3 linked regions of the Oreochromis niloticus genome follow. The main gene of each other region encodes a partner of the protein of the gene in region 3 in a complex. Links are inferred from orthologs where the notes say so. Each region holds a gene or a part of one and is shown on either strand. Other genes may lie near its edges.

Evidence for each region.
Region 1: dhx16 (region 3) and cwc22 share a complex: the UniProt entries of both Homo sapiens proteins name them as parts of the minor spliceosome. The link is inferred for Oreochromis niloticus from reciprocal best matches to the Homo sapiens genes DHX16 and CWC22.
Region 2: dhx16 (region 3) and bud13 share a complex: the UniProt entries of both Homo sapiens proteins name them as parts of the minor spliceosome. The link is inferred for Oreochromis niloticus from reciprocal best matches to the Homo sapiens genes DHX16 and BUD13.

What each region holds. Positions count from the first base shown.
Region 1 is NC_031987.2:24,052,997-24,060,853, reverse strand, and holds the start of cwc22 (pre-mRNA-splicing factor CWC22 homolog), read right to left. Parts: upstream 3,100-7,857; 5' UTR 3,006-3,099; intron 2,284-3,005; 5' UTR 2,282-2,283; coding exon 2,227-2,281; intron 1,237-2,226; coding exon 1,016-1,236; intron 1-1,015. UniProt on the Homo sapiens protein: Required for pre-mRNA splicing as component of the spliceosome. As a component of the minor spliceosome, involved in the splicing of U12-type introns in pre-mRNAs. Promotes exon-junction complex (EJC) assembly.
Region 2 is NC_031975.2:13,772,290-13,780,367, reverse strand, and holds the start of bud13 (BUD13 homolog), read right to left. Parts: upstream 3,033-8,078; 5' UTR 2,993-3,032; coding exon 2,850-2,992; intron 2,703-2,849; coding exon 2,612-2,702; intron 2,356-2,611; coding exon 2,271-2,355; intron 2,182-2,270; coding exon 1,621-2,181; intron 1,425-1,620; coding exon 1,120-1,424; intron 1,026-1,119; coding exon 917-1,025; intron 749-916; coding exon 610-748; intron 501-609; coding exon 319-500; intron 184-318; coding exon 102-183; intron 1-101. Other genes in the region: ribosomal L1 domain-containing protein CG13096, read left to right, coding at 7,377-7,425, 7,938-8,078. UniProt on the Homo sapiens protein: Involved in pre-mRNA splicing as component of the activated spliceosome. As a component of the minor spliceosome, involved in the splicing of U12-type introns in pre-mRNAs.
Region 3 is NC_031976.2:36,413,838-36,421,496, reverse strand, and holds the start of dhx16 (pre-mRNA-splicing factor ATP-dependent RNA helicase DHX16), read left to right. Parts: upstream 1-4,630; 5' UTR 4,631-4,907; intron 4,908-7,659. Other genes in the region: lysosomal thioesterase PPT2, read right to left, coding at 1-146, 2,346-2,636. UniProt on the Homo sapiens protein: Required for pre-mRNA splicing as a component of the spliceosome. Contributes to pre-mRNA splicing after spliceosome formation and prior to the first transesterification reaction.

The sequences.
Region 1 (7,857 bases), on a different chromosome or scaffold from region 3:
AGAGCAGCACAAAACCATGCTGTCATTTTTAAAAGTTTGAGTTCAACTGAAAAAGAGAGACAACCCAGCAATATGAAGTCGGTCTGCCTCAGGTCCTGCATCAAGTAAAAGCCTGTATGCACCTGGGGAGCTCGTGTCTAAGTTGACAGTAATGGAAACAAAGTCCTCTTTGATTTGTGATTCTGTCAGTCAACAAGTTAAATCTTTATTCAGTGTCTTCTTCACTGGGTGCACTCATAAATCAGGCCAGCTGACATTAAACATGCTACTGTGTCTTACATCGGTGCCTCAAGCTTAAACTGGGTCCTGTTCTCATGGTAACCATCTCTTCAGACCAAGCAGTTTTTCACACCAGCTGTCCAGAACTGCAGCCTGAATAATCTACTGTGCAATGTGCACACTAATGCACAGCCACATTTTCAAATGCAACATAATCATGTCTTAAAAGCACAACATGAAAAAACACTAAGTAAATACGCTTCTTCTTCAGGTACTTTATTCAAAACTATTCTGACATTCAAGATCATTTTTAGGCAAGAATAGTAACAAAATGCTTCAGTTCACATTTCCACACAAAAATACATCAACTGAATGAATACTGTCAGTTCCTGAACTCTTCTTTGGACAGTATCTAAAACATAACATGGATCACTAAACTCCAGTTACCAATGCATCTGACTGCATTAACTTTTTAAGATTTTGGTGTTTCTGAATTTCTTGTTTTGGCCGGATCATTTTTATTAATACTGTGAATCTCAACTATTGTTCGGTATATATTGGGGAAATCAACTTACTTACTCCACCTACTATTAATGGCATTTCTCACTCCAAACTCAACATTTTTGATTGATGAGGAATTATAATATACAATATATATATTTATAAATATAAAAAAAGGCTTTCAGCATATGTTTCACCCTCTGTAACTGTCTGAAAGCATCTGATTCTTCCATTTCTACCGCAGTAGTCTGTACATTATGAAATGTGACAGACTAGTAAAAGCCACATTTCTTACTTTGATCTGAGCCACGCTGCTTCGAATCTTTCTCAGTGCTGAATGATGTTCATCCTCATCACTGCTGCTGGTGCTGTCTGAACTGCTTGAGGATGGGCTCCTGGAGGGCCTGCGGCCCACAGGACTTGGCTGTGGGGACCGTCGCTCATTGGGGCTTCTTTCAACTGAGCCAGCCTGCTGGGGTCTGCCTGATGCTGGACTAGAGTCATTCTCTGAAGGTCCTGCAGAGAGAAAAATAGATCAAGAGCAGTATTAGTATATCCATTCAACATATCCTTCTTCTTCCACTTACTCAATTTAGGGATACTGTGGGGCAGAAGGCAGGGTAGACATCGAACAGGTCACCAGTCTCTCACAGGGCTAACCGGAGACTTATGCTTTGGACTATGACTATTCAATAGCTACGCCATAACCGCAAACTTTGCGAAACTTGTTAACCCATATGCCTGGTGGCCACGTAGGTGAAGGACAGTCAAACAACTAAACAAATAAAATGGACACCAGCTAACCACAAAAACGCTGTTTCTGTTACCATTCATACCGTGCACCCTACAGTGCAACCTAATTACATGTTGCACCAATAGATTCTTCTCATGCATTTCAGGCTACTTTTTCACAGCAGTTTTTGAATTTATCAGTGAGAGAATAACAATCATCATCTCAACATAACAGATAATAATTATAGCATCAATATAAGGACTCACAAATGTCAGCAAATTCCTGAGGAGAAACTGCCAAAACTATTAAAATGGACGTGTGGGAATGTACAAAGAAGATGAAAAACTTGAGACAAATATATTTGCCTTTAAAAAAAACTGACCACTACAAAACTGGAGGGAAAAGGTCCGTGCATTTTATTTGTTTCTATCAACTGGTACTGAATGAAAAACATGTACACAGACCCACACATTAATTTAGACATAATGCACCAGCACAAACACAACACGTAAATTATGTCGTTAGCTCTACAAAGATTCACCGCAGAAATCTAAATCAGGACTAACAGGTGAAAGCACACCAGAGTTCCCAGCAAGGGGTACAAAGAAAATATGCAGAAAGACCCGGCTGCTGGACTCAAACCCAGAACCTTCTTGCTGTGAGGTGACAGCTAACGATTGCAACATCGTATTGCTCAAGTATAACGGATGGAGATTAAAGCAACTCTTATTACAAGAACATTAAGTGTAGGGTTCACAGCAGCATTTACTCACCACTGTTTTCTCTCTGTGCAGGACTGGGACTTCGACTTCTGTCTGCAGAGTCCATACCTGGAAGGGGGGGGGGGGAAGACAACTAAGACATTCACTTTGATAGGTAAAATGCATTTCCACAAACCCCGTTACATTAGGAAAAAAGAAAAAAAAAAAACATGTAAATGAGTTAATAAGATTTAATAACTTTCTGACATGGTTCTCTGACACGATCCACGTATTTCTACGAAGGACTGTTTACAGACTTGTTGATTTGACATTAGTCTGCTCCGGATAAACTTTACATTAAATCACCAATACTCAATGCAGAGCAAAGGATACACTTACTGTTTATTAAGCGTTTTGTGAGTGATTAACGATAAAATAAGAGGGATGATGACTTCCTGGTAATGTTTAATCGCCGAACAGAGTCAAAAATTATCATTGCCAACGGACGGAAGAGGTAACAATATGGTAACTGGGCATTTCCTGAGGTAAATATTACCAAATGATCAAGTTTGTACGTCTTAATAGCCGAATAAACATATTTTGGGAAGGTTCTTGAAACAGCAACACCACGCGTTACTAAAACGTCTTTTCAAATCAACTCCTCAGTTTTATCGCCATGTGTGTTAAGCTGAGCTAAAGTTAGCTTGTGTGCTAATGCTGTCTCGGCTATTGCGATCTAAGCTTCTCGCTACTAATTGCTGTCACTAAAACCTTTAAGATTTTATTTCCTTCGTACTTTGACAGAAGGTCTGTCGAGCTAAATTGCTTTGTTTGGGTTTTAATGTCCTTACCATACAATTTCCCGGCTTTCCTTAAATCACTGTCGTTCGTCTGGCGGAAAACTTCCTATAATAACCAACATTACTTCCGGGTGACAGATCGCTTCCGGATTTCACAATAAACGCAGTTTGTGAAGTTTGGTTTACTGTTTTTGTTGTTATTTTTTCTTTTCCAGTTTAACTTTATTTCAGAATTTAATATTTATAAATAAAGTTGTAACACAAGAAAAAAAGTGTATAAAATAAAGTAAAACAAACACACAGGGCCTTGTGTACACATGAAATTTGTTCATTTATTGTTTCATTCTGGGTTTTTTTTATTTTCAAGGTCCTCAGTTGTGGTTTAAAAGGGAATATTGAGCTTCAAAACAAAGCTTTATTTATCTAAATAAATCTAAATATCTAAATAAATAAATAAATCTTAGTTTATTTACTTAATCACTCAAAGTTTAGAGTTGCATATGTGAAAATTTTCACTTAGCATCCTGAAGTTTTTACTTACTTCTGAGTGCCTTGAAGTTTTGGGATGCTGAGCAAGTGGGAATTTTCAAAATTTCCAGATACCATACACAAAATTTATTTGACTAATCAACCCAAAGGTTTGACTTTATATTTTAAAAACACTTTTTTTTTTTTTTAAATTTGTTTTTACATGAATACCTTATTTGTTAAATCTTTGAACATAGAGAGGCACAGAAAGACTTTCAGCTGTATGGGAGGACACATTAAATCACTGTTTAGTTTTTTAGAACAGTTATGGAAGAACATTCAGGAAAAATAATGTTGTCATATGGTTTACTATATCATAATACCAAGTGTGTAGTAATGTGAAGTTCTGTGAGTAAGCCCCATTTCCATTAGTAATACTTCTTTTTTTGTGTGTGTAGGTTTAAAGGTAGGAAAAGCACTGGCCAGTTATACTGAGAGCTTGAAAACAAGACAACTGTAAACAGTTGACTTTTTTCTTAGAATTCTGGAAAAGAAGAAAAAAAAAAAAGACCTGCGCACTTTTTTTCCCAGTGGCCCTAATCCTCTTCCGTACAATCCCATTAGCTTATTTTTAAAATATTTGAAGGAAGTTTATATTCCCCAGCACTGCAGGCCTTCAGACATCAAAACGATTTGAGCCTAAACGGAGGGATTAATAACACATAAAATACAACCCTGTTGGTGTATCCATCACTCCATTGCATACAGAGATGAAAGAGGCAAAAACATATAGTTTCTGCGTTATTTATAGCAGTGTGCTCGGGTTTAAAAGGCCCCCGACAATGACGTAGTCTTCACGGTACTTCAGCATCTAGCTAGCACTACTAAAGAGGAGCATAAAAGGAAGAACGTGTTGCGGCAGGTCAGTTCAAACGCAAAATTTCTAAAAGCTCAACACACAAACACACACTTGCTAATGGTAAAACTGGGAGAAAAGAGAAAAGAATAAGAGTTAAGTTCACTCAGAGATGGAGAACAATGTAAGGAAGAGAGGACAGGAAGAATACCAAAAGGCAAGTACTGCTCAGGGGTATTTGATAAACTGGAAATTTTAAATTTTGTTGTATTTATCCGCGACACCTTAAAGGCCGGTCCGTGAAAATATTGTCGGGCATAAACCGGTCCGTGGCGCAAAAAAGGTTGGGGACCGCTGCCTTGGACCACTGTGAGACATCAGACGTGTGCACTGTGGTCACGCCAGCATCTAATCCATCCAAGTTACATGGTTTATTAAAATAATCAAATTACAGCATTTACATTTATGTTAGACTACTTTTAATTAACTGCTTTAGCCCACTTACAATGAAAATTTAAAAAATCTTGTTCATGACCTGTGTAGTATGTTAACACTATTGGAAGTAAAAATAACTTGAACTCCAATTTTGAAAACACAACTTTCTTTCTTTTCTTTTTTTTCATAAAGCTCTGACTTGTATTATGAGTCTGTGGTCTGGGAGAGAGTCCTATAACTCTCTGTCTGCAAAATACAGTATATAATGACCAATGTTGGGCAATTAATTATATAGTTACTACTTCAAAAAAGTAACTCGGTTTGGCAAACAACAAAGTTTTTTGCAGCTATTTATTTTTTTTAATGCAGCCAAGGCGTTTTTTTAAATAAACATTTCAAACTATTTACAGAACAATCAGCTGTTCTGCATCAAATCTGATGCCACACAAATTATTTGCGCCACTCCAAAAAATAATTTCTGTCCAATATGAGATAAAGGAGAACAACAGCCTGATACCTGCAGGCCTGACAACAGGAGCTGTATCACTGCTGTAACACCTGTAACATTCAGCAGTCGCCTCATTGTTCTGACACACACAACAAAACTATTGACTACACTACACACTGACTACACACTAACTACACAAGATTTGCGCTAAACGTCTCAAATCTCTCACATCTCAGAACACCGCCGTCACTCCTAAAACTCCCCCCGTTTCTTAACAACTAGATGCCACGTTGGCAAATCATTTTTTGATTGGTCGACATGGTACATTTTTTGACCAATAGGAAAGGGTGGGGGGTTTTTTGGTTTTGTTTTTGCTCACAGGCGGAGAGTGCTTTCGAGCGTTTTCCTTATAAAACGCCGTTTTTACCATTTCTTCCCGCAGTAAATATAAACAACGATAGTATTCAGGAAGAAAACCAAACATTGCAGATATTTTTATCATAACTCTGGTTTTACGTGGCCTATCAACACAATTTAAAAACTGGTATAAAGTCCGTCAATTGTTCCGTCTGTCCTGCTCACATCTCCAATGGTTGTACACGTTGTCATTAATGTGGCTTCTCTGCACATCAGCCACGCCGCTTTGCTAGCTAAAACACCGGTGTCGGCACATAAGGACGCTGTCATAGCCTGTCAACAACGTTGATTGGCTGCGTATATACGAATGTGAATCGCATTATTGGCTGGACTATAGGATAAGGTGGCATCGTTCTAATCCCATACAGGAGCAGCCAGTCACTTACTGACTAACACTGCAAAACAGAATTGTTAAAGTTTTAATTTTAATTTCAATTCAGGTTAGATTTTTTTTGTGCGCAACGCAGATTTTCTGTGCGCAGAGACCGTGCCAGCAGTGCGCAATTGCGCACGTGCGCAGCTTAGAGGGAACATTGGTTTCCACACCACTGGAGTCGTTTTACCTCTCTTTTCAACCAACGGCATTCTTTCTTCAGCAGCCATTATCCTCTCCTCTCCAAATAACTTCTGCTTAGCTTTCCGAGCTTCCCTCGGGTCCTCTTAATTGTTGTGACGCGTGTTCGAAACGCAGAGAGGTGCGCTCGATTTGCCACACGGAGCAGCGCGAGAGTAAAGCACGAGGGAGGTGCTAATAATCGGCTCAGTCATTTTTAATGATCGTTGAAAACCCAGATCGTAATCGAGATTAAAATTCGATTAACTGAGCAGCCCTAATGCTTCTTTTCTTCCTGCTGTTTTTATACAACCATATAAACTGGCGACACAACAGAAGCTCGATTCCAGATGTGCTTATAGCGATGGTGGTATAGTGGTAAGCATAGCTGCCTTCCAAGCAGTTGACCCGGGTTCGATTCCCGGCCATCGCAGCTTCGTTTTGTGACAGAGCAGTTAGGGAGGAAAAGAAACCTATTTTATATCAGAAAGAAGATGATATATAGTATTCAATAAATGGGTATTTAAAGTAAAAACAATTTATTGTAAAAAGATTTTATTGATTTTCTTTTACTTTACTAGAAGTTGAATCAGTACTTTTTAAACAAAACTATTTGTACTTCTACTTAAGTAAATCCTCTCAATATCACCATATGCTGTGTTTCCTCCTTTGAGAAGCTCTGCTCAGCCTTTACTGGAGTCTCCTCCAATTGTTTCTTATTTGTGGGTCTTTATGCATTTAGTTTTGTATTTAATAACTAAATAGCACACTCTGCTGGGCTGAGATCAGGTGACTGACTTGACCATTGAAGAATAAGGTGGAAAAAGGGTGTTTCACAAAGTGTGCAGAAACCTGATGATCTGTGAGTAATACTTCTTACTGGCCAGTAATATTGAGAGCTTAAAAAGAAGGCAATTTGACTTCTTTAGATATTTTCAGGATGTTTCACTTATCATCCAAGAGGCTTTGTCATTCATAGAACAACTGGTGCAGAGTCCCAGGTGACATGCACCACTAGGGAGGGCTGTTCCCTTGGAGAAGTCATAACCCACAAAGATGGTCGATCATAGTGGACATACATGGCCTCATTTACTGTTCTCTTAAACCAATTGTCTTTGTCCAAAATGTGAACACTGGCATCCTGGGAAGCGTGTCCTTTCTTAGGTATTGCAGGTGTGCCACTGAGTCTTGTCCTCCCGTGTTGCATTTGTGGACTGGCTTGCAGCATCCACTGTTTAAGTCTCTTCACATTTAAGTGACATACAGCTCACATGATGGTGGGGTGGGGCAAGGTCTCACAGAGGTTTCAGTTGTCGGCCAGGTGATGGGAATGACTCATGTTTTCACACCTTTGCTCATGTGACAACTCACATGATCAATAGTAGGTTAACATCCCTAGGAAGTACATCAATTTTTATACACAGCACCCATTTTCAGTCTCAAATTAAACAGACTAACATCATTTTAGATGATGTTATGTTTAGGAATCCTTTGCAGTCAATGACTACTTGAAGTCAAGAACCCTTGGACATCAGAGGTGGGAAGTAACGAAATACAAATACTTAGTTACTGTACTTAAGTAGAATTTTCAGGTACCTACACTTTGAGTTTTTATTTTTCTGATAACTTATAACTTTTACTCCTTAAATTTTAACATGGATATCTGTACTTTTTACTCCTTTCATTTTCAAAGCAGGCCTGTTACCTTATGTTTAACATATTTGAG
Region 2 (8,078 bases), on a different chromosome or scaffold from region 3:
ATTGCAAAATGACAAAGTGATGTGTGTATTAAAAACATTCAATATTAAACTACAAATCTGTCCTCAACAGTTTTCCTCTGTCACTGATGTACAAACTCTACCTGTCAACTCCGTCCCAGCGGTACCCCGGTGGAATATTGAACCGGTTTGGAGGTGGAGCAGGGCCTTTATATTGAGGTTTATCTACAAAAAATCAAAACAAAACATACAAATAAATAAAAATACAAACAGTAGCAAAAACAAGACTGCTGTTATTTAAAAACTTCTTACAAGGATTGACCTGGTGAAATAAAATAAAACATATGTAATGTTAAACACCTTGTGTTTTTGTGCCACGGTCCTTTTTACGCCTGAGCATTGCAGCCATAGGATCGCCTTCTCTTTCCTGTTCTCTCAACATGCGGTCAAGATCCTCATCGTCACGGTGACGTGCCAGTGGCTTCTGGGCTTCGTGCAGCGCGTCCTCAAGTTTCTGCTGATGCATCTGGCTCTGTGCCAACCTATACATACATTTTAACATAAACCATTGAACCACATGATGCTTTTATAATCTTTTATGTGGATACAATCTCATAAACTGTGATATTTGAAATGATCATGCACATTTACCCTTTTCCCCACTGAGCGTATTTCTCGTCTCTTGCCGCTTTTTCTCCAGCTTTCTTCTTCTGTTCATCTCTCTCTGAATCCAGATCCCTCCTTTTGCCACTTTTGTCTCTGAAAATCGTCTGAGCATTACGTGATTCATCTGGTCATAGGGGATGAATGGGTAAGTATGTAGAAACGACATTATTTAATTTTAGAACTAAATAAAATACGACAATATAAATGATAAGCTGAAATGAGACGCAAAGCTGTATGAAACTCTTCCATCAATGGGTGTAAAAAAATCTTAAGAGAGAAAAGTTGAGGAAACCTTCAAGTGGCTGATTGTGTTTCTCTCTACGTCTGTTCTCCTCTTGCTCTTTCCTTAAAATGTCCACAGAAACCAGGCCTGCCTTTCCACCAGATAGCATCCTTTGGCCCTGGTTATAAAATAAAAAGACAATGAAAAAAAAGAAAGAAATCTGAGCGAAATCAGATTTTACATTACTCTTTGTTCCAACACAGTCTGCTTACCTGTGACTGGCCTGGCCTACGAGGAGGTGACAAATCTCCATCCGAGTCCCTTCCACTCGGTGGCCGCACCCTGGGTGGAGACTGGTCAGAGTCTGAGCCCCGTTTAGTTTTTGAGGGCCTTCTTGGAGGAGATTGGTCGGAGTCAGAGGCATTTCCCTTTAGGGGCCTTTTCCTCGGGGGAGACGGATCCGAGTCTGAATCATGTCTATTCTGACCCTTCTTAGCCACCGCTGACCGATGAGGATCCGGTGAGCGTTTTTTACTTAACAAGGATGAGCTGAGCTTGCTTTTGCTGGAGGCTGAATCTGACAAAGACACAGTTAATTTGTTAATTTTCATTTTGTAATGACTTTTGAACAAAAATTAAAGATTTATTATTAGATCAAGGTATGCCTTAAAAAGAAATTTCCATACAAAACTCATGTTAAATGGGCCTTTGCTTTTTACTTTTATTCATATGCCACACCAGATTCCAATTTACAATTTAATTGGATCACTCACCTTTACTTTGCAATTTTTCTGACTTTTCTGAACATTGTCTCGGTGGTGACAAGTCTGGGGAGTCATGACGTCTTCTCCTGGGAGGAGAGACATCCGGAGAGTCGTGACGTCTTCTCCTGGGAGGAGAGACATCTGGAGAGTCATGACGTCTTCTCCTGGGAAGAGAGACATCCGGAGAGTCGTGACGTCTTCTCCTGGGAGGAGAGACATCCGGAGAGTCCTTCCGACTTTTCCTTGGAGGAGAGATGTCTGGAGAGTCATGCCGACGTCTCCTTGGAGGAGAGATGTCTGGAGAGTCATGCCGATGTCTCCTTGGAGGAGAGACATCCGGAGAGTCCTTCCGACTTTTCCTTGGAGGAGAGATGTCTGGAGAGTCATGCCGACGTCTCCTTGGAGGCGAGACATCTGGAGAGTCATGCCGGGTCTTTTTGACAGGAGAATCCCGTCCTCTTCTCTTTGAAGACAACTCTGGTGAGTCATGTCGACCTCTGCTTAATGACCCAGCCTCTGTATTTTGATGTTCTTTTCCATTTCCTTCCTCTGTGTCGTCATTTTGATCCACTTTTAGGAGAGGAAGTAAAAGTATAGTAAACAACATTCTTAACTTAATATTGCACAAATCCCCCCTACTTCTGTGACTTCTTATTTACCTCCAATTACTTTCCATCTGTTGCTGGTCCTAAAAACTTCCATCTGTTTCACTTCCTCGGGTCGATCATCAATCACCTCAGCAATCTGAACAGTTAACAAAAGATTAAGTTTTAAAACAGAACTTGGTGACATAACAAAAATGATCCAAACTACAAGCATACCCATTTAATACAATAGATTAAATTTCAGCATTAAGTAGTGTCCCAAATCATCAGGCGCATGTTTATTGTTTAAAAGAAACCCTCCTATACAGGAGCGCATATAGCATATGTTTAATCCGTAATCATTTCAACTGAATGAATGGACAGGTTAGCCAGGTAGCTAGCTAACGTCATCTTACCACTGGAGCTTCTTCTTCATCCTCTTCCTCAATCTCCGTCTGCTGTGTGACCATCTGTTTCCAATCTATGTCATCGTCCACTATTTTAAGTCTTGAATCAAAGAAGTAAACACGAGTAAGTTATTACATTAGGCAGTGAGGAAAACAGCGCTGCACAACACCAGAGTCGTTAACTAGCTTAACGGCTCCACAGCTAAATCTGCAGCAAAAATCGACTAAAACGTCGCCAGCGGCTCACCCCTTCTCGGGAACCTTGCGACGCTTCTTTTTTGCCTTTCCTTTAGATTTCAGGGAATCATCGTCGGCTGATAAATAACGTTTTAGGTACTCAGCCTTAGAGAGTTCCTGTCCGTTCTTACTGCCTGTGGAAGCAGCCATCATTATGTTGTCGGAAACTACGGGTGGCGCTGAGGTTCAAGAATGCCAGTTCGGATAGCGGATGCAAGGGGTAGGCTGAGATTGAGGCAGGCAGGCAAGCAAGCATGCCTAAATTGTAAAGTGTAAACTATAGTTAGCAAATAAAATAATACAAATAAATTAATACAAATAAATCATGAAAGGGTTTTGAGGAATTTACCATTGTTAACTCCAATTTCACTCCAGGTGCAGTGCTGTGAAAGTATTTATGTGAAGGGGGAAATAAACCTGTTCAAACTTACCTGTCCCTGTGTAAAACAGTAATTGCCCTGTTGTTAAATCATTAATTAATTTACTGAAATTGGGTTAACTGTGATAAACCACATTTTTTGCTGAGGTGCAAAAGTGAGAATGAAATAAGAGAACACCAATAGTTTTAATTGATATCAGTAAGAGGAAGTTAAACTATCACCAAAAAATTGTCAGTCATGTGTTGGCATTGTTTCTACGTCATCAAAATAATATTGGTCCAGGTTTACTGACACTTACTGACACCGTCACATTATCAATGCTGGTCATCATGCCCTTTTGCTGCTAAAGTATTTATACCTACTTTTCTATACCTTCTTCTATATTCTTCTATATCCTTCTTCTATATTCTGTTTTTTTTCTTGTTATTGTTATTGTTATTGTTATTGTTATTGTTACCAGCATTATTATACAGATGCAACACCAACACAAGGACATCAGATACACTGTCACTCATCATGAAAAACAACATGCCAGAGTCATGCCATGGCCTCAACATAAAAGACAATACCTCTTACAAATACCTCTGTCATGAGAGTGATAAACACACAGTGCAGCATTATAGATTATAGATTAAGTTACTAAGCTGCTGATCTTTTGTCTTGATGCATGCTCAGTCATCCAGGTAATGGAATCCCAAAAAGTGGATTCTCTTCATTTGGATGTAACGTTTTCAGTGTTAGAAACATTTCATCACTCATCCAAGTGACTTCTTCAGTCTCAACTGACTGCAGGTTTCCCCAATCTTAAAAACCGTACCTTTGCAGAATTACTAAAACTAGCATCACTGGCAAACAGTGGGCTGTGATGTAGTTTCTTGATCATTAACCATTTATGACTGTCACTGCTCAGTGACAGAAATACTTATGAGCCCCTGAAACAAGCCCAGGAAGTGGTAACAGGAAGAGGGTGATAGATTGTCTGAAGCAGTTAGAAAAAGCCAATGCTATTGACCGGACCTCATACCACAGGCTATACCCAGGGACAGTCTATATGGTGTACCTTTAGGACCAATTGTCTGTATAATCAACTCGGTCACCTATAACACCTTAAAGCTTCTGGCTTCGATCCTCAACCCGCTGGTAGGCAACTCTAAACACCACATCCAGAACAGTTAGTTTTGGTCATTGTGCAAGGGTACTGTTTATTCATGTTACAGCAACTCATGAGTGAATGAACACGGTGCAATAAAAGTACTTTTAGAAGTACATTTTTCCAAACACTGGTGGTGTCAAATTTGTAAGGAAAATGTGGGTTGAGCACGAGAGTTGAGTATGTGGGTTGTGGCCAATGTTCCCTCTAATTTTTCATGTGTCTGAGCGAACACACAAACTCCCTGAGCGATCCCTTGGATCACTGTGAGCGACATTAGATGTGTGCACTGTGGTCACGCCAGCATTGAATCCATCCAAGTTACATGGTTTATTAAAATTAAAATAAAAAAAATAAAAATAAAATTACAGCATTTACATTTCTGTTAGACTACTTTTAATTAACTGCTTTAGACCAGTTACAATGAAAGTTTAAAAAAAAAAAATCTTGTTCATGACCTGTGTAGTATATTAACACTATTGGAAGTAAAAATAACTTGAACTCCAATTTTGAAAACACAACTTTCTTTCTTTCTTTCTTTTTAAAAAAAAAAAAAAAAAACTCTGACTTGTATTATGAGTCTGTGGTCCGTGAGAGAGTCCTGTCTGCAAAATACAGTATATAATGACCAATGTTGGGCAAATAATTATATAGTTACTTCTTCAAAAAAGCAACTGAGTTTTGCAAACAAGTTTTTTTGCAGCTGTTTACCTAAAAATGCTGCCAAGGCGGTTTTTAAAACAAACATTTCAAAATACTTATAGAACAATCAGGTGTTCTGTATCAAATCTGATGCCACACAAATTATTTGTGCCACTCCAAAAATTAATTTCTGTCCACTATCAGATAAAGGAGAAAAACAGCCTGATACCTGCAGGCCTGACAACAGGAGATGTATCACTCCTGTAACACCTGTAACATTCAGCAGTCGCCTCATTGTTCTGACACACACAACAAAACTATTGACTACACTACACACTAACTACACACTAACTACACAAGATTTGCGCTAAACGTCTCAAATCTCTCACATCTCAAAACACCGCCGTCACTCCTAAAACTTCCCCCCGTTTCTTAACAACTAAATGCCATGTTTTGATTGGTCGACATGGTACATTTTGCGACCAATGGGAAAGGGTGTGGGGTGTTTTGGTTTCGTCTTTGCTCACAGGCGGAGAGTGCTTTCGAGCGTTTTCCTTAGAAAACGCCGTTTTTACCGTTTCTTCCCGCAGTAAATATAAACAACGATAGTATTCAGGAAGAAAACCAAACATTGCATTTTTTTTTTTTTTTATCATAACTCTGGTTTTACGTGGCCTATCAACACAATTTAAAAACTGGTATAAAGTCCACACTTTTTCCGTCAATTGTTCCGTCTGTCCTGCTCACATCTCCAATGGTTGTACACGTTGTCATTAACGTGGCTTAACTCCACATCAGCCACGCTTTGCTAGCTAAAACACCGGTGTCGGCACATATTTACTTTAATTTCAATTCAGGTTAGAATTTTTTTTGTGTGCGCAACGCAGATTTTCTCTGCGCAGAGACCGTGCCAACAGTGCGCAATTGCGCACGTGCGCAGCTTAGAGGGAACATTGGTTGCGGCCATGAAAAATTTGCCAATAGCAAACAGTTTATTTTGCTATTGACACTTGTTGGGTGTCATTTATTGAATTCTGAAAAAACAAGCCACATCCACAATTTAATATTTTATTCTTTTAACAAATAGGGGCGTCACTAACATGTGGAAGAACAATACGCAGCCACAACAGCCTGGCATTTCAACCTCATGCTGGTCACCAGGTTGGCCACACACTGCAACTCAGCCAGTGTGTGACCAAGTGCTGTGTTGGTCACTGTGTTAAATAGGGTTGTGTCCTTGTTTTATTTTGTTACATTTTTGGAAGAACCAAACTGCAGGTTCAGAGAGTGTTTCATTTTGCAACAACTGTATGTCATTGATATCTATGATCAACTACTTATTCCAAGACAAAACCAAGTTCCCAAAAGATATACTAAAATATATTCTGTAGATACCATCCAAGATGTTGGGTGTAAATACCCCCTTTACGAAGCTCTACCAGAGTATTGCACTCAAGCTTGTATCTTTTTCCGACTTCTACAAGTTCATTTTTAGATTAAATTTAACCTCAAGGCCCAAACACAGTCATTTTATCCTGTTTTCCTACCATCAAAATATGTATAAATACATTACACAGCACATTTTGACACTCAGACTGTTGAATGCTTTTATTTTCAAACTTTTCAATCCAGGAAAGCCAAATGGAAAATATAAAGTATAGATTTTATATGAACAACAGAGTCTGCGTCTAACTAATCAAAAGGTTTTTAAGCCATGGAGCAGTTCAGCAAACATGTAAAGCAGCAAAAATACACTTCAGGTAGAAAAGTGTTTTCAATAATTAATTACTGATGGAAGACTCACTCTAGTTTACTTGAATTAATTTATTTTAATACAGCAAGAAAGGGGAAAAAATCACGAACCCGAGGAATACTTTAAACTTTATGCAAAACACTCATGGGGTGGTGTGAACATAAACCAAAAAGCCAACAAATGGTATCCACTACCTGAAAAATGGCGCCATCTTGTGGCCTCTATCTGTCACTGTAATTCCTTCAAAGCTTTGTGGAAAATGCTTCACCTGTAAAAGTTCCGTAGTCACCACTGACAGTTTTGTTTACCTGCAGGACGTTCAGCGGCGTCATTCGATGACGTCACAGGAGAGTCAGAACGCAAAAGTAGCAAGTAAACCTATGACGTTCATCTCTGCATCATTATATTTGGATGTAATTGGTGGAGAAATATCAGTTAACACTTCGCAGCGTTCCTCGCAGCATTCACTTGGCTTACTCTACATTTACATCGTGTTTTTAAAAAGCTTGTTAAAAAGTTTTCAAACAATTTTAAAGGACTTTGGACAGTCTGAAAGTTTTAAACCAGTCAGCTTAAAAGTTTGACAACTGTAGTTTCCTCCAGACTGTTTTCATGGATCAAATGGAGAGTGGAGACGGACAGCATAACGACCCCATTCGAAGTAAGAGCGTGATTTCTCTTTTCAGTTTTCAGATGGATTATCTGACAGTTTGTTATTACACATAACAATTTCCAAAGTTTTAAGGCCTCAGTCACACAAGCCCAGAGTCTGGTCTGTGACCCCTGAAAACCTCCGTGTGGTACAGTGTATTTCCTGGTTCACTGGGAATACACATATTTCTCTTTTAATCCACTTTGCAAAGAGTTGCTTTGCAAAGTGGATTATTTAGACTTTGCATTACATATTATATATAATTATAACAATCCTAATTAATTAGTTTAATAGTGCATTACTACAGTGAGGGCTGAGGAAAACATTGAAATAGTGACATTTATTAGCTGCTGCTCATCGACTAAAGCCTTTTTTTAAATTGAAGGAGCAATTACACTATAATAATTTTAATATATGTCTGTTTGTATGTTCCCTGTGTAGTTGCACAAATTGGAATTTGTGGACAGTTTTGGCATCATATGAATGATAACAATAAATTATTTCTTTATTTATTGTTGTAGGGGTACCAATCCCTCAGCTGCTTCTTTTACTGGAGCAACATGAAGAAATCGATGCAATTCGCCCGATGATCCGCTGGCTGCAGGTTGGTCTTTCACGTGGGGTCTTGACTGAAGAAAGCCTCCTTGTTTTGAATCAAGTGA
Region 3 (7,659 bases):
AAGCACAGAAGATGGACGCCATCAGGAGCATTTTTCATGATGGAGTTGAAGGACTGCCTGAAGTCTGGGACCTGCTTCCACAGCGGCTGCAGACTCAACAGGTCGTCGTACAAGTCAATCACTGTGACCTCAGTGCCTGGATGCACCTGAGAAGTGCAAAGAAATTGAAGTGGAAGTAAAAAATTTTCCCTTTTGATTCAAAGAAGTGGCACAGAGAGGGAAACATCAGCTGTCATAAAACTTCAGACAGGTGCTCAAATGCAGAACTCTGAAATTAAAACTGATCCTGAGGAAATGAAAATCACAAAGGAACAGAAATCGCTAACTTGAAACCATTCACTGATTTTCACTTCATTGTTTTTATCTGATATGTTATCAAGTCCAATATCATTTTAAGTATTTTATTCCTACTTGAAATACAAAATTCTGCCTTCAACCTAAAGTAGTATAGAAGCTCTTGATTTGAGTGTTGAACATTTGGTGGATTCAGGTACTTTATTAATGAATGACAGGGTTAAATAACAATAATTACAATGAAACACCTCACACATCTATAGTAACATTAAAGGACCAGTGGCTGGCAGGGTATGGAGTGACACATCAGTGTCCAATGTAGTGCTTTATGTGCAAGTATACCATCAACACTGACACAAATACAAGAAACCAGCCTTTGGATAGCTGTCCACTGCAGTGACCACTATGTGTGAAAGGGTTAACATATTATTAACATATAAGGTGAATAACGGCCCCAGAACTGATCCCTGGGGAACACCTTCAACCACATCAAGGAAGCACGAGGTGATGCCTTCGGCATTCACACACTTAGTTCTGTTGGAAAGATCATTTTTGATCCACTCACAGTTTTTGCTTTAATAGCACATGATCTACAGTGTTAAAAGCCTCAGAAAAGTCAATGAAAAAGGCTGCACAGTGTTTCTTACTGTGTAAAGCCTCAATAAAATCATTTATTACTTTTAAGGCAGCTTGAACAGACTGAACGTGTGATATAATATCATGACTAATGAGATATTCCTTCCTATTGCTCACTTACAAGAGACTCTTTGCGGGCTTTTCATTGGTCTTTACAAAGGGTCAAACAATCGAGCGCACAACTGTAATTTATATGGTTTTGGATGAATAATAACAAGCATAGAATGATTTATGTAAGCACATTATCTGCCTGCTACGGTGACAGAATACAGTCAGAACATCCCGTGCTAAAGATAACCTGCACACCAGAGAATATATTGTTTTAAAAGATTATCTAGAGACAAAATGTGATGCTGTGGATCATTCTGTTCAGCCAGGTCAGCTTAAGCATTTCGGTTTGTTTTGTTTTGACCCAATCTATCTTTTGCTGAGGATAAACAGTGGACCCTTCATTCTCTTGACTCAAAATCACCTCCAGTCAGAGCAAATCCAGTTTAAAAAGTAATCATTTCAAAGTCTTTTAAGTTGAAATGTGAGTCAAAGAAGTAAGCCTTTAAGTCTGATCACTAAGTACTAATAACTAGTACTTAGTGATCAGACTTACCCCCCTTTAGCATTGTTCTCTATCAACTACTTGGCGACTCGATCCCAGCATCCATAAGAGTGTGAGTGTGAATGTTAGTTCGTTTAAAAGCACCTGAAAATGTTTTTAGTGCTCAAACAGAACAGGAAAGCTCTGTGTGAGTACCAGTTTATTTATGGGTTTAAATGGTAAAAAATAAAATCACTGTTGTGAACTGTAATATTTGATCAAGTTGGCTTACTTAAAAAATATGCACACTTGTTGGCCCAAAGTTACTGAAAGTCAACCGAGAAAATGATACAAACTTGTTTTCACTGCGTGTGCAAATGAGGACAAGCCTCTTAAATAACACATTTTCATTATTTTATAATAAATGTCTAAACATGCTTGTACGCAGTGTTTAGTTCCGTTTGAGAGACAACGCAGGAAAACTGGTTTTAAATTTGAACAGCTACTCTGAACATGAACTTGGCCTGGAGACGTTAATCACTATGTGAGTCCGAGTCCTGCGGTCCGTTAATAGCTAAACACTTCCACCAGAAACACATCACAGAAAAACCAAAGTCTAACGTAACCGTGGACACAGCAGGACCGCATTTAGAATCTAATATCGAACATTAACAGGCCCATGAGTCTTTGTGCACGTATCATTAACAAGTTTGCACAAAAGCGCTACAAAGTAAAGACGTGACCACAAGCACAAATAATGTGAAATACACTTGGCCTACTTTTAATTCCTGTGGTAAATAAAGCGGTTCTAACGCATTTGGAGCTGTTTTCGAGCCTTGTTGTTCTACAGCTTAGAGATGTCGCACGCTGTGCGCGGTCCTACCTTCTTTATGAACCTTGAAAGGTTTTGGAACTGCTGTGGTCCATCAAAGATGCCATGCACGATGATGACTGGTTTATAGCTGTCCACGCAAACACCTTCGACCAGCAGCAGCAGCAGCAGCAGCGGGCCATGCGACCCTACGGCTACCCGTGGACACTTCATCTCCGCCCGGATACAGGTGAGAAGCAGTGCGGGGGGGCTGTGGATGATCCCGAGGACTTTGACCTGAGGTGGTGTCGTTAATACGGCCGATGAGGGACTGTGGCTCTCTTCATACTGACAACCAGCCATACATGAGCGCGCGCTGCTTCCTCTTTATACACATGTATTTTTTCCACAGGCCACATCCGCTTTTACAGAATCACACCCCTTCAACATTCAACGGTCTGAACCCCGTCGAGTGATCCCGGCTTTATGATAATTAATTTGACCCAATGAAAAAACGTTGCATTTTAATAAATGAAAGTTTTTTAAATGCATATTTTCATCTGTTAGATGAACTCACAATTGCACTTTATAAGGCAAACGTTAACATCGTTGCTGGTCATCTGTTCATGTGTTTGAAATAACTTCATGTTACAAGTGACTTGAACGTTTGTTTGTTTAAATGTGTTGTCTGTCTTAGTATTCAGTCTGTGGGTGGTGGTGATATTGTGTGTGTTAGACTGCTATTATAATAGCAGGAAGTTGGGGTGGATCAATGGCACAGTTAATATAACTTTATACTGACTTATCATGTCCCACGTGTAAAAGCCGCATGTTTTTGTCATGTTTAATTGTGATTAGAAACAAAAAGCTTTAAAATTGTTGACCAACTAAAAGCCAGAACCTAAAGATTTGTGTTTACAATAAAAGAATTGGGAAATTGAGTTCTGGTTGTGAATTATCTCTAAAAATCATAACATGGATTCAAGGAGCAGAGATTTTTGTCTGCAGAATTTCTTAGCTGCATATGCATGATGCACATCTCCTGCTCCACTGCATCCCACAGCTGCTCTGTTGGATGTAAACTGGTAAATCGTAGCCATCTAAGTACAATGAACTCATGTTATGTTCAAAATTTCAGTTTGAGATGAGCTGAGCTTTATGACAAGATGATTCTCCTGCTGGAAACAGCTGTCAGAAGATATTCAGGAAGGCTGTGGTGTTTAAACGATTTGCCTTTCTCGTGTTAAAGAGGACAGATTGTAACAAAAAATTATCACCCACACCAAAACAGCACCACCAGCAGCCTGATCTGTTCATTCAGTGCAGGATGGATCCATGCTTTCATATTGGTCCAAAGTTTGTCCGGTCTTCTGACACAGAATTTTGGTCTGGCTGTAACTTAGTTTAGTTACTTTTGAGTTTCTGTTTCCCTCCTATCAGCTCAAAGCAGACTGGCCAATCTCCTCTAAGACATTTTCATGCAGAGAGCTGCTGCTCACTGGATATTTTCTCTTTTTGGGAAAATTCTCAATAAATTCTATACACAGTTGTTGAGAAAATCCAAGCAGATCTGGCATTAACAGCCATGCCAGATTCAAAATCACTTAAATCACATTTCCCAATTCTGCATTAACAAGTAGTTGAACAGGTGCACCTAAAAAAGTGGCTGGTGAGTGAAATAAAAAATAATTATCAGCTAAAATGATCTGGTAATATAATGTAGCCTATGTGTTTTTGAAGAGTGCCACATAATAAGTAAATTTAGATGCTATGTAGATACTGATGATAAAACTTGTGCTGTTTTAAGCTATTTAAGTAATGTTATATATTTTACCTTGTGTAAAAAGTCCTTATTGTCAGTGTTTTCCATTTTGTAAAACAGTTAAATTCTAGTGCAGCACTGCTCTTCACACAAGCCAAAAGATCTTAATAAGACACAGGACAGTACTGTATGTGAGCCTATGCCTGGTGTATTCAGCGCCATTTTCTACACAGATTCTACTTCTGATAACATGTTCTACTTTCCTCTGTTTACTTTTTTGTATTATTTTTGGTCGTAGAATATATTAAATATATCTTATCTCTTATGAAAGTGGAAAGACAGGCTGACATATGAGATCAGGCAGGACTCTGCAGATGATATTGTGACCTGTATGGAGAGTATGGAGCAGGTGGAAGAATAAGAAGAGAATTATTAAGTGTAAAAGTTATTCTCCTGGTTATATGTCACGCTGTTATTTTCTGTGCTGTTTGCGGAACTGGATGTTTTGGTTTGCTTTATTGCTAGCTGGTGTTGCTGTTCTTTACATGCCCACACGGGGGCAGTGAGCGCCGGCGCCTCTGATGCAGCCCCGCTCTTCTTCCCTAGTGTAACCTGACGTATTTCCGTTTGGAAGTTTAGCGTGCGTTAAGCTAAAACAGCAAAACAGTTTACAGTGTATGAGTGTGTGTGAGGTAGTTGTAGGACAGATAAATAGTTTTTCGTGTCTACGACAGGATGCACGTGTCCGCTAAGTGTCCGAACCGGAGACTTGTGCGCTACAACTCAAGCTAACGCCTCATCTGTAGCTGGAGTTAGCAGTCGGCTAACTCTCAGCCTGCTGTTTCTGTCACAACAAGAGCGTTTGAGAAGCGGTGAGTGGACTCCAGAGACGGTTGTGTTGTGTCTCCTCTAATGCTTACACTTTGTATAATACAGGTGTAATAGTGGGTGGATAACTACACTGTAATATGAAAACTGACAGTATTGGTGCAGCGGCTTGAACAAAACACTGCGGTTTAAAACGACGCTAAATCCGGATCTGCAATTAAAGGCGAAGTTATTGGAAACTTGAACTTGTTTAGCGAAGTCTAAATGTGAGAAAATATTTTTATTTAGTAGTTTTGCAAACAAAAAAAAAAAAACAAACCACTCACTGCTCTGACTCTTTAGTTTTCACAGAGGTTATCCAATCCAGATTGTCAAAGGTTAATGCTGAAGGTCTGTAACTGGACCTGGTCTAAATGTAGGAAAGGCAGCAGGGAAATCATCCCTTTTTCCATCTTTACTGTCCTGGAGCATCCTCCAAGTTGAAGCTGACATGTTGGCTGGCTCCTTTCAGTGTGGAGGTGTAGCATCTCCACTATGACCTCTTTCATGTTCTGGGTTCTAAAGTCTCCCTCTTAAACCCAGAATTTAAAAGTCCGGATAAAGTTGCTTTTACTTTTGTTCTGGTCTGGATGTTCCAACAGTCATAGCATTGCTGCCTGTTTTTGTGTTTTCACAAAGGGATTCAATACAGCTCTACAGTTTAGTAAAGCCTTTGCTTTCTCAGAGTGATCCTGTCCATATTTGAAAATTGAGGATAAAGTAATTTCAAAGTTTTTTTTAAATTAAGTTGCAGTGATCTGAAACCTAATTTAAATCCCGCCCTGGAGTCTTTTAAACGAATCTGGTCAAAAGTAAAAATCTGTTAGCCTTTATTTAAAAAAAACAAACAAACCCAATTACGCATATGGCCAGGTGTGGTCCATATTATGATATTTGATTTATTTATGGGTTTTTATTGGATTTTAAAACACCTGTTGTCCTCGGGGGTCAAAAACGACCCCAAAATACAAAGCGTTGCGAAGGGCCATATTGTCACACCATACTGCTTGCAAACATCTTTGATTTTGGATCACTGATGTGTGGGGTCAAGCAATGGTCATAACAACAACAACAACAACAACAGGCAGCACAATGAGGAGGCAGGTGCTCTACATTCAATTCAATTCAGTTTTATTTATACAGTGCTAAATCACAACAACAGTCGCCTCAAGGTGCTTTATATTCTTGTGGAAAGGAATGGCCAGTAGAACAATGCATATCTTGTTCTCTAATATAATGAGGAGGAAGAATCAACGATCAGGAGGATCCAGGGTTAAAAGATAAAGAAAATATTGCCAATATTTAGATCACACGCTCCCCTTTCTCTGAAGAAACCCCACATCACCTACCTGCAGAAGTGAAGTGTATGAAGTGAAAGAAAAGTGATGAAGAATCTGAACTATGTTCAAGTAGGTTCTCAGGCATCCAGGACATGGTAGTGTGAGGAGCTTGGAAAGAAAGTGACTGGGCTTCTTGAAGTTTCTTGAATTTTCAGAATGTGAAACTAGAAGATGTGTCAGAGGACTACACATCTTCTATTTCAATTATGATGAAGACAAAGAATCAAGCAAGAAAGAGGAGTCAGCTGAGACATATCAATATTTGCAGTAATGTTGATCTTCTGTCCTTCCCAGTGACAGACGATGCATGACTCTCTCATGCGTCACAGAGAAAGACAATCTACCATAGTCCAAGCACATAGGGCTGCTCGATTATGGCAAAAATGATAATCTCGATTATTTGACGATATTTATTTAACAATAACAATGTATTGAATAATGGCTTTAAAGATTGTCAAAAAATAGTATAAAATAGTGTGCAAATACTGATTACAGTGCAAATGTTTGCAATATAAAAAATAAATGCAAAATGTAAACATCTATGTTTAGTGAACTTCAAAATACTGCACAATATTTGATCCAGGTCTGACTCCGCGAACCCATAATGTTTCCACACCACTGAAGTCGTTTTACCTCTCTTTTCAACCAACGGCATTCTTTCTTCAGCAGCCGTTATCCTCTCCTCTCCAAATAACTTCTGCTTAGCTTTCCGAGCTTTCCAAGCTTCCCTCGGGTCCTCTTAATTGTTGTGACGGTGTTCGAAACGCAGAGAGGTGCGCTCGATTTGCCACACGGAGCAGCGCGAGAGTAAAGCACGAGGGAGGTGCTAATAATCGGCTCAGTCATTTTTAATGATCGTTGAAAGCCCAGATCGTAATCTAGATTAAAATTCGATTAATTGAGCAGCCCTACAAGCACATATGCCAGGTCCCATACTGATGACATAAAATCCTTAGATTGCTTTTCTACTCAAGTACTGAAAGCATTATACACCATGTATTATGCTTTTTAACTTTGACATGTCAATGGATGCATCAATGACAAACAAGGAGGGGCAACAAGAGATGAAGAAAAATGGATTGAATGCAGCTGTAGGCATATGTGGGTATGTTGATTCTTACTGCCGTGCATCCAGTAAAGTCACTACGGCCAGTTTGTGACATCCTGAGTCTTTTAGGGCAGTTTTCATGCTACAGTGACTGAAACAAGAATAATCATAGAATCTCAAAAGTGATATCATTTCATGATAAAGACACAATAGAAGATCGTTGTTCATGACAGAAACGTGCTCCCATTTGAGGTGTATGGAACAAGTGGGTGTTTCTCCTGCTGTTGATGTACGATCCAGGTACTGATGTGACTGTATGAGCACCTAGTCCCCTTCAGAGGACTCTGTCCAGTCCAACAGAACATCCCA